Oreochromis niloticus: one gene and its partners. The protein of the gene in region 2 interacts with the protein of the main gene of each other region in a pairwise test. Links are inferred from orthologs where the notes say so. Each region holds a gene or a part of one and is shown on either strand. Other genes may lie near its edges. The genes, in order: nrip2, banp and lmo3.

Region 1 (3,755 bases), on a different chromosome or scaffold from region 2:
CAGCGTGATATCCGCAGATCACAGAGCGCTGCCAGAGCTGCTTTCCTGTGCCAGCGTGACTGTGCTCAGGTTCTCAGAGAGCTCTGGGGAATCTGCGAAGCTGCCGCCATCAAAACAGAACTGTGTCAGAGGAGAGCTTGAGTAATAAATTGCTGAGATTATTACAGGGAGTTCCTCCAGAGTGTACATAACAACTTCGGTTTAGTGAGGTTTCTGGGGGAAGAGGAAGTGAGCAGGTCAGACTTGCCCCACTTTACTTGCAGGGCTGTCTTTCATCCTGTATGTCAACCCTTAAAGTGTGTGTCTGTTTCCAAGTGTGCGCTGACTTCAGTCTCTATTTGAGAGGCCTGCTCAGTGAACTGTAAACTCCTTTGACAAGACGTTCGCCCCTCTGTATGCAGAGTGCACGACTGTGAATGTTTTATGAATCTTTATTTTAGAGGTTACACTTAATGGCCATGCAGTAACCAGAGGATTTGCAGCTTTTCTCCATTTTATATTGTTATAAAGTGGTTTTGGACAGCTGGTCTGATATTATTAAAAAAGGATGTAATTTTGGACTCAGGGATGGAAATTTAACTTTTTTCACAGTTAATCCAAATAATTAATCAACAGTGGAGAGAATAATGGCTGTCAAAGTGGCAGTGAAGTGATTAGCTCCATTGGGTCTTAAGAAACACTGCTGCATATGCTAAAAATGTTAAATACAGGCTTCAGCGTTTGCAGAGCGAGCAAAACGTGACCAAGGTGGCATACAAAGCCTGTAAATAAAAGATGGACATTGCGACCATGCCAAGACCGACTGGCCATGGGCTCCAAATTGCAAAGCCTCAGTGAAGTATTGTTTTGAGTATTGTGTTTCACAGCCAGAAGATACCATATTTGGAAAAGAGTGTGGAGTGCTAGCATGGGTGCAGTCGTCAGAATACTAAAAAACTCAAGCCCAAGTTTCTTAGACAGGTTATACCTCACTGCAAGCTATAATATTATTTAGATAATTCAATTAGGGATCTGCCAGAAAGCGCAAACATGTGCATGTTTGATTCAGGATGACTGGATGAATCCATCCTGTATCTGCAATGGTAAATTATATCTGATGTTTTCTGGCTGTTACTTTTTTGTCATTTAATTCTGATAATTTTGTGTCCAGTTACAGTGCAGTTAAGGTGGTGCCTAAAAGTTAAAGCAGCAAAATTGTCTTTGTTTTTTCCAGTAACCCCTGTCACTGTCATTTCATTTGGCTGTGAAATCACTGCGGTCAGAGAGCCATACACAGGGTTACTTTATGCCTCACTGTCTTACATGGTGAGTGTAGCTGTACGTTCTACTTGACAGCAAACTCAACATCCATCCATCCATCATTTTTCATTGTGAGGCAGGAGGCTAAGCAGCCACACTTCCCACTTCCTCCTGGGAGATCCTGAGGTGTTCCCAGGACAGACGAGACATATAATCTCTCCGGCGCATTCTGATTCTACCCTGGGGTTTTCCTCCCAGTTGTGCATTCCCAGAAAACCTCCAAAGGGAGGAATCCCTCCTCTAACCAGATGCATCAACCACCTCAACTGGCTCCTTAACATAAAGGAGCAGGGGCCTTATTCCGAGTTCCTCACCGTGCCCCTAAGGCTAAACGGAGCTGGGGTAGTTTAAGCCAATTTTTTGCTTACTGTACAATTTTTTTGTGCAAAGCAAGGAATAACCTGGCAACCTTCAAACGATTTCTTTATTTGACCGCTCTATCTACAACCTCCTCAATCATCCACCGACTCTTTCAGCTCTTGGGTGTCTCAGCACACCCTTCTACACCATATAGTGTTGTTGGTGCAGCAATCATAGGGCTGTAGGTTTATTTCCAGCCAATCGAATGCCATCAAAATACACAACAATCATTGGCCATAATCGACAAGGGAAGCTGTATTCAAGTCGAACAAAGAACACAAACAACATAATCACATCACATCACAAAATCCCAACCCAAACTGTTGCAGCTGGGTCAAAGTGTGGGTTAGGTGAGCAGCAGGTTTTGGCAAATTAACCTGCTCACTGCAGACCTTTGCCAGGTGCCAAGCACCTGCATGCACATCACCGCCTCTCCAATTGAGTTCAGACACTCATGCAGCTCACTCACCAAGTCTTTAGACGTGCCCAGTCTCTTCAGACCATCCAGGGGCAGGAGGTCAGCAGAGTCCTTGTGTGTGAACTGGGTGGCCTGCTTCAGACGCCTCTGCTGGTGCAGGATGGCTTTATCCCGGATTGCTATCTCTCCTTTTTTCGCCTCACTCATTGTCTCAGGCTTTTAAAATCAGTCCTTTCTGATGCTGTGCAAGGGAGCACGGAGACTGTAACCTCACAGCGGCAGCAGAAGAGGAGAAACCCCTCCAAAGAACGTAAAGCTCTTGTCCTCTTTAAGGTCCTCAGCAGCAGAATAAACCTCTAAACGTTGCCTCTGTTGCTCTCTCTGAAATGCTGCTGTATAGTCCTCAGCATGTATTTCTCCCAGGAGCTATTGTCCTGCTCCTTTCATGTGCATCTTTCCTCACAACGTCAAGATCTGCTGAGTCTCTCACAGAGGCTGCGAGGCTGTGTGGAAGGTGTGACAGAGTCTGTGTAAGTGTTTCCTCCCCTCCCCTCAGAGCCGTCTGTCCTTGTATCGCTCTCTCTCTCTCTCTCTCTCACATATACATCTCTGCCTTCAGTAGTGTTTCTCTCTCTCTCCTCTCAGCCTTCCTCTTCCCCTCACCCCCAAAACACTGAGCATATTTTCCCAGCTGACTCTTTGTACATCAGACCTCACCGCTCCCCTGCTAATCTGTAACCACATTCTTAACCATCACAGCAAGCATTTTCTGCCTCGTCTAGTCTTTTAAACTGGCACAGCCACCCACACGCACAGTCTGTCACTCCTGTGTGTTGCTTCTGAGCCCAACACAGTTTGCAGCATCAGTCCCCCCGAGCTCAACAGCGGTAGCCCCCCGCTGTGTAGGTGCGAGAGCTCACTGTGGTCCGACCCCAAACGGGATCAATCTGCACCACCGATGGCAACAATTGATTTCCCTCCCGCCTGAATTAAAGAATCCATTTTCTTCTTTCCATCCATCCACACCACCAAAAGCTATAAATATCCCATCCATCATGACCTCTACGCGATGACACATTTTTATACAGCAGTGGTGATTTGGCCTAGAGGTGTGGAGGGTTTCCTTGAAGTGTAGTAAGCGCTGCTCATTTATCTGTCACAGTGTTTAATGAGTGTATCCTTGCAGAGGGTGCGTGCTAATATATATATAAAAAAGACATGACTGCTTTTTTAAAGTATATAATTTTCATCTGGCAGAGGGAGTCCTTGTGAAGGTGAAGTGGAAAATACTGCTGAGGGATTTGATGTTTATGTGCTGCCACCTGCTGGTTGAGTTTTTCCGCCTAACATGCATCTTTTCTATCAGTAAAGGAAGGTTTTGAAACCCCTAAATCAGGGGTGTCAAACTCCAGGCCTTGAGGGCCAGGGGTGTCAAACTCCAGGCCTTGCAGGTTTTAGATATCACCCTGGGTCAACACACCTGAATGAAATGATTAGTTAATTACCAGGCCTCTGGAGAACTGTAAGACATGTTGAGGAGGTCATTTAGCCTTCAGCTGTGCTGGATCAAGGACACCGGGCCTTGAGGCCTGGAGTTCGACACCTGTGCCCTAAATCATAAAACACCTATGCCCTTCCACATTATCTCTGGGTCAATTACAATGGCAATGCAAGACAA
Region 2 (3,755 bases):
CTTACATCTGTCCATTACCAGTCATTTAATTTTGTACAAACCCACTCTTCCTAGTTTGTGTCTTTTTCTGTCTGACCAGATGCATCTTTCTGCATCATCTTTTCGACTTATCACCTTATAGTTATCAGGAAATGAGAAATCATATCCTTCCTTCTTACTAAAACTGATTCTTAAGTACGATTTCACTAACTCAGAGGGTATAGCAACTGTGGCGGTTTGTTTTGAAGCAACAACTGTAATCGCCACATTTAAAAAAAAAAAAAATTCCTTACAATAGTATTTTGACTTTAATCTCAAAGCAATTGAGAATATATTTTTTCTTAATGTGGTCCTAATACTTATACATACTCCAAGTTAGGATTACACTTTTAATAAGCTACCTTTACACAACAAATAATTGACAAAGTAACTGCCACAAAACTGTCAAATTCAGTCACCCAATAAAGATCTAACACTTGCACACTCCAAACTAATTTACTTTTTCAAGTTGCAGTAGAGTATTTGCAACCTTTGATCCCTGTATCAGTCCACTTGAATACATGAACTAAGTTGTCCTGTTTTGAGCCTGTATGTATAGCCAAATATTGAAAAAAATTCTGTATTATTCACCAGATTTTAGCTGCTGCTTTTCATTTGTTGCATTGCTTTATTTGCCTAAGTTCAGTTTCCCTACTCTTTGTGTCAAAACTGCACAATTGCTTTAGTGATTTGTCCACATTTTGGAAAGAAAATGTTGCAGCAGTAATACAAATGCTAACACCAACACATTTTTAGCGCACTTGTGGAACTTTTTAAAAAAAAATCTATTACTCCAAAAATGCACAGCACCTCAATTAAAATGTGTGAGAGAAGGACCCATCCATTGCAAATACAAGGCTTATATCCTCATAACAGCCACGAATAAACTAACAATCATGTTGTGTGTATGAGAAATTATATCCAGAGTCATAATCTTGCAGCTTTGTCTTCCTGATTCATTTCCTCGTTTTCCAAACATGGCAAAAAAGCATAGATGCATGAGGAAAAATTACAATAATAATCAAAGTACGACATTTTATGTGGGCTCGGCTCTACGTAGCTTACAAAAGCATCGATGGCAGCTTAAGAGTAATAGTTTGTGACATTACTTTAAATAAAAAAACGAATAATAAATGTGTGCTTTGTCCTTAAACTTACACAAAGGAAACTTTGTTACTGGAGACACATACCATTTATATAAGGGGGTTTATCTGAATGGTATGCCCAACATAAAATGAGCGATAATCAGTTTTAGAGTAGCCCAACTAAATTAAGCCCTATGTAAAACGGTCTGAAATTGCAAAAGCTCCTGGCGCTTTTTTTTAAGCGCAACCGTTACCTGTGATAGTGGCTAGCTATAAGGAAACACAGCTGTTTCAGACCATTTTCTTTAGACTTTAGCTGCTTAGCCTAGATTACTACAGTTTGCTACAAATATAAAGAAAAAGCACGGAGCTGGTAAACGTCTACTAGCCCAACTAACGAGCTTTAGATTGGTTAGTTAACTGGGCGGGGGTCTGACGATGCTAAATACAGGCGAATAAACGGAGGAAAACAAACTTGGAGCATCAATTTGTTATGCATTTATGTAATGCGACTAGACATGCGGTGCAAAACTACTGTACTACGGATATTTAATTTATTTTTCACTAGTTAATTAGCGTCACCAAAATCATAACTAGCAGCTAATGTTAGCTGCCGCTACAAAATCGGATTTGAAAGCTTGCATGCTAACTTAAAGGAGACGCTATTTAAGCTAGCGTGGTAGTTAGCATGCTAGTTGGGCATGTAGGCCTTTGAAGCGTAATGCAAGATTCGTTTAATGCTGAAGCAACCGTTAAATTAATTGTGATTTTGATGCAGCTTCTCTTCTCATTCTCGCACACAACACATGTACCGTGTAAGATTGGGTTATATTACCGTGTGAATGGTGAATTCTCGTGTTGTTTGTAGAGTTTCCGATAATGGCGTCGTTCCTCGCGAGAGATGAGACCTTGCCTTCGTGTGCTTCACACACGGAGGTTTCCTCAACGCTCATTCAAGGGAGCTCAGTCTGCAGGAGACCGCTCGTCACCGCTGCAGACGCCAGTCACAGACTGCACGACTGCTTCTTTTCAAGCTGTTTTATCTAAATCTGAAAAAAGCCGACATCCATTAAATTGTACAGTTTATTCGACATCATCATAATACCGCATGATAATAACTGCGCCAAAGCACAGTATCTTAATAAAGCCTCTGTGGCAAGCAGCGAGATTGCATAAACGGATAACATGTTTGTTTAACCCTGTATTTTTTAACCGTCCAGTAAACGTTTCTTACATTCATTGTAATCCAACTCCTCAGGGTTGTTTGTTATCTTGATTTAATCCAAGCCTTTGTTTGCATCCGTAGATACCTTAGAGTATATATTACTGTATTTTAGTATTTTTGTTTCCCAGTGATTGGAGCAAATGGGTTTATTTTCCTCTACATTATTTACCCTCTTATGTAGATGATTTGGCACAAGATATTAAGCAGCCCACTAACTATTGTTCACAATGTAAATGACTCTGATGTTTATTTCTGAGACAGATAATTAGCAAAATGATAATATACAACAACCAAAAAGGAAATTCAACTGAAACATTACAAAATCCAAGGTCAGCTGAAGCGCAAGTGTATTTTTATCAAGCGTTTTACATGTACTTGTTTGGTCTTCAGTGAACATATAGAGGAGTTTATTATAATCAAATAAACACGTTAACAATAGAGGAAGATTAATACATGCAAAATGTTGCAGGATAAGGAAGAATAACTTAATATATTACAAATAATATATTTTATTTTATGTATTAATATCATAGAATATGCCAATATCTAGTATAGAGCATATTGCTTTGCATTAAAATGTAACTCTCTCAAGGAATGAAAACAACAGCTGTGGTGAAGAGGTGATGAGTGCTACAAGTAAAAGCAGCAAATGACCAGCAGGTGGAGCCACTGGCAGGCTCAGTCCATCTTTCAGCTAGGCAGGGATTTGACACACTGTTTTTAGGCATCTTTGTGTTCCACTGGGTAATAAAAGAATAAGAAAATGCAGCAGATAGTATGTTATTACACTCACTAAATTAAGTGTCTATTAACTCTCCACAAGTGGTTGCACTGTTCATTATTAAGAGCTGTATAGGTAGAGCTAGATAGCATTATTTAAAAGGACTCAGGTTCAGTTCGTAGTACTAATTGTAATGCAGAAGGGCTGTGCCTGACTGGAATTCATGTCGGCCTAAAATATATTAAAAATAACATATTCTTATATGCACACCAGTGTGCTACCATGGGAGAATTTCCTGCCATACATCTCCTCTGATATGTCTAAAAAAGACTTTCCTCATTCAACCTGGTAAGTTTAGATTCATATGCCTAGGAAGAGGTGTCAGTTTCCAGTAGTCACGATGAAAAATATTAGATCTTTCATACTGCTGTGTAAGGTTAACCTACTGTCACTCGTCTAATCAGAACTTGGAGTGCAAAAAGCAGAGAGGATATTTTGGTAGCGTATGGGGATGTTTGAGTTGCTTTCTGGTGTTTTCTGTTGAAAACAGTATGCACTATACATGGTTTACTCATTTCCCTTCCTTTTTCTTATTTTATTGTTAAATGTCTACTGTTTGTTTTTTTGGTTTATTTCAGAGTTATTTTATGAATATAATCCCTTGTTTTATTCATTGTTTGGGCCTCCTTGATTTTCCTCTTCATGT
Region 3 (3,755 bases), on a different chromosome or scaffold from region 2:
CTCGGGTCTGTCAGAGAATGAAGTTTCTCTTATTATTGTCCCACCTCCAGTCTTCTCAGCAGTGACACGATATGATCATTCAGTTATTAGCAGCTGTTTGGCTAAAGGATGCCTCCCGTACACGCCCACTTTCTTTGATTTTGGAGCCACGGGTGCGTGTAGATGGTTCCTGGGGCCTACATTATAGACACAGAAGCAAATGCAATAGTCCACGTGTAGGTAGAGCAGTTTACTTCTAACACTGATACTAATATTGAGATGAGCAGCTCTCAGAGAGTCACAGATGTAACTCCTTGCATTGTTTATTTCAGGTATTTGGCCAGAGTCGTGGTTTGTCCTACAGTGTTACATCTGCACAGGGTTCTAATTATTAACATTTAAAAAGATCAGTCCGAGCTTAAGCCAAAAAAAAGAAAGAAAAAGAAAGTACTGTCTACTGCTTGCACTTTTGTTTGGTAAAAGACTAGTGTGAGAAAATGCAAACATCCCAGTGCATATAATGGCTCTGTGATGACACCAGCCTGTGCCAGTTCTTTCTTTAATGGCAAAGGGAGGTCTCCAGCTGGGTTAACATCAACAACTCGGATTATCATCTCTCCATAGTTGCTTTTAATCATTCTTGTATTAAAGGAAAAATACATTCACCAGGTTTTCGCGTCAAGTCGTGCATCAATTAGCGACCTAGTTTAGATGAGACGAGGCAGCGAGGAGGCCCGAGTGTCACGGTATGGTTACCCCAAACCTTCCTCCCCACCGCACCACTGCTCCCTATCACACACACAGATACATCGTATAAATATGATGATAGACAAATGAAAGTGTGGAAGGCACAGAAGGAGGAGACACAAGTCAATAGTTGGCATGTGACTCCAGCCAAAAATGCAGCAATAATGAGTTGGGTCATAAAATGCTCTCCGCGCCATTATGAGTGATGAGATGCATTAAAGCTGACAGGGTATTACCTGCCAGTAATTAGGTTTTGTCATGGATTGAATTATTTCAAGGAGGCCTATCTCGGTAATCATGCAATCTGCTGCAGTGTGTGTGCAGTGTGTGTGAGGCTTCCACCCCTCTCCTGGTGCCCTTCCACCCTCCTTTCACTTGCTGTGTTCAGCCAATTATTCATTCTCCGTATGAATATAAGATGAAGACAGAAAGCAGGAGTGTATGTGGAGAGCGGGGGAGCGGCGAGCATCGCGCGGCTAGCCCGGTCTTCTCATGCACCATACAGTACTCCTGCCAAACGCAAAACCGGAGAGAGGGGACTTCTGTTATATGCTATGACCCCAACCATCAGCCTGTAATGAAGACGAACGTGCACCAAAACCAGACACGCTCTGAACAGCCTTGCATAAATGACATTTCAGGAGGAAGCAAATCTGCTACATTTCCATCCGATCTCTTCCCTGGGAGCTCAACCAGCACTTTACACGCAGCCCTCGCTGTGGCTAAGCTTTAACTTAGAACCAAGAAAAGCAGAGCACTTATAACACATACCTTGAAGGAGCTACAGCCAGGGACGCCCAAAACAAATACTGCCGTGGTTCGTGTCTTCTGTGTTCTCTTGACTTTGAATGAAAATCTCCAGAAGGTAACTTTCTGAGAGCTCGGCCAGCTCCCGCTTTTCTAAAGAAAACTTTGCCGCCAAAGTTTTATGGTTTGATAACTGTTAATAGTTGAGCTTTGACCCTAAACTCTGCTCCCCTTGCTGCTCTGTGACTCCTGCAGCTCTCTCACAGAGCATCCCTTTCCCCCTTCTCCTTCCCTGCTTGTGTCTCTCTGTTTCTCTGACAGGGAAAAGCAGCGCACAGTCGAGCCTCCTCTCCTATTTAAGCCCCTCCACAAGGTCCCCAGTCGGCAGCACACTCCAGCTCATCCAAGAAGCTGACAAGCACCGTTAGGGAAGGCAGCGCATGTTGCTCTAATGGACCTCATTAAGCTCTACTTACAGATGTTCTCTTAACATAATTGATCTGCAGCGAGTTGAGAGGACGGCAACCTATTCCCCAGCCCCCAATTATGGCCCGGTAATTAGATCCCCAACCTCCAGTTCTCCACATTCACCCTTCTAACATTCCGAAATATCAAAGTATCTCTTTCTCTCAAAGCGACCACCCCTCCCTACACCACCTCACCTCCGTGTCTCCTCCCTCCTCCCCACAAGACACTATTGACAGTCAGATCTGCTAACCTTTGTAGTGTAGCCAGATTAGCAGTGAACTCACTGCTATTGACAGCGCTCACTCAGTTTTCTATTCCTCCTTTCTCTCTCCTTGCCTTTTCATCCCCGTTGGGAGACAGACAGAGAGAAAGTGAGTGGCACAGATGGAGAAAAGGGAGAGCGAGCGAGGGGGAAAACTGAGTCGACATACGCCATAAAACATCCTAATGGTAATATTTGTCTTCATCTCTTACCTCAAATAATTCCTCTGATGCCAACTTTGAATAGAAAAGGCGTTGGGTGGAGATGCCAGGAGCTACAGAGTAGTGATAATGTAGCTTAATAGTACCAGTCAGTGTCACTCCTGTAGCCCTTTTCATTAGCCCGAATGCTGAAACAGAAAGCGTCGAGTAGAGGGTAATGTCCTACTTTTGCATGACATAAAAAACTCTTTATGATGAAAACTAATAAAGTATTGGGGAAATAATAACGATGTGGGAAATATTGTTCCCAGATCTTTAAGTTTTCACAAATGTAACAAAATTGTTTTTGATGATGTCAGGAAATGGGACACATACTGTTGCCATGTGAGAATGTTTTCATAACAGGAGATATCAACATGGTATGCACCCGCAGGCCTCACAGGACAAGTTAAAGCCCGGTGGCTAACTGGCAGTGTTTGTTTGTTTGTCCTGATCATCTGGTTCAGGAACATCGAGCCCACTTTGGTCCTAACTGAGCAAACCCCTCAATCCCTGATCTCAACGTAAGCTGAAGAAGTGCAGTTTCAAACACATGTATCAATTTTTCTACATGATAAATGTGTCAAAATACAGAAAAACGTTGTTGTTTATTGTTTTATAAATATGGAAAAAAATTGTTGATTGATGAAATTTAAAAACTAACATTTCTATAGTAGACAGTGAAAAACAGAACCTTTCCTTTAATTCTTTATCTATTAATTATAAAGAATTAATGTAACGACTGTGTAATATGTAATGGCTGTGGAGGAGCTCTGTATCAGCAGGAAAAGCTGTTAAAACTTATAAACAAAACCAGTTAAAAGCCCAAAATTACATGCCTGCCTTCATATTTTTCAAAGCCATGCAGGGGCCATATTGGAATCTTTGCTGGCCGATTCTGGGGCCAGAAGTCGTGAAAATTTGGTAACAAGCCGCGTGCATGTGGAAATAACCTGACACACAGTACATGTTATTAGTCTATGTTAGTGACCTTCAGTGTTCATGTTAGAGACATGTTCCATTATAGAGACAGACAGACAGACAGACACACACACACACACACACACACACACACACACACACACACACACAGTAGGCGTTTGTTTCTAACTGTCCTGTAAGTAGAAATATTCTGAACACGCTACATGTGGACAGATTTGCAAATATAAAATGAATTTCAATTTTACAATAAAACAAACATCTGATAAAAAAAACTTCTCATCCCAATATTTTTGTACATTACTGGTTTTTCTTTTGATATTCAAATATTAAACCAAAAATATTTGTTTATTGCTGTGTAAACTTGTTTAAGCAAGTCATTAGAAAAACGTATTAATATAAGAAATTTTGCT

Evidence for each region.
Region 1: the proteins of banp (region 2) and nrip2 interact in binary tests that used the Homo sapiens proteins (3 or more experiments, as listed by UniProt). The two-hybrid records come from large-scale screens. The link is inferred for Oreochromis niloticus from reciprocal best matches to the Homo sapiens genes BANP and NRIP2.
Region 3: the proteins of banp (region 2) and lmo3 interact in binary tests that used the Homo sapiens proteins (3 or more experiments, as listed by UniProt). The link is inferred for Oreochromis niloticus from reciprocal best matches to the Homo sapiens genes BANP and LMO3.

Annotation. Positions count from the first base shown.
Region 1 is NC_031981.2:17,135,406-17,139,160, forward strand, and holds the start of nrip2 (nuclear receptor-interacting protein 2), read right to left. Parts: upstream 3,025-3,755; 5' UTR 2,285-3,024; coding exon 2,129-2,284; intron 1-2,128. UniProt on the Homo sapiens protein: Down-regulates transcriptional activation by nuclear receptors such as NR1F2.
Region 2 is NC_031972.2:56,895,954-56,899,708, reverse strand, and holds the start of banp (protein BANP), read right to left. Parts: upstream 2,208-3,755; 5' UTR 1,939-2,207; intron 1-1,938. UniProt on the Homo sapiens protein: Controls V(D)J recombination during T-cell development by repressing T-cell receptor (TCR) beta enhancer function. Binds to scaffold/matrix attachment region beta (S/MARbeta), an ATC-rich DNA sequence located upstream of the TCR beta enhancer.
Region 3 is NC_031981.2:699,694-703,448, forward strand, and holds the start of lmo3 (LIM domain only protein 3), read right to left. Parts: upstream 2,523-3,755; 5' UTR 1,498-2,522; intron 562-1,497; exon of another isoform or gene 1-561.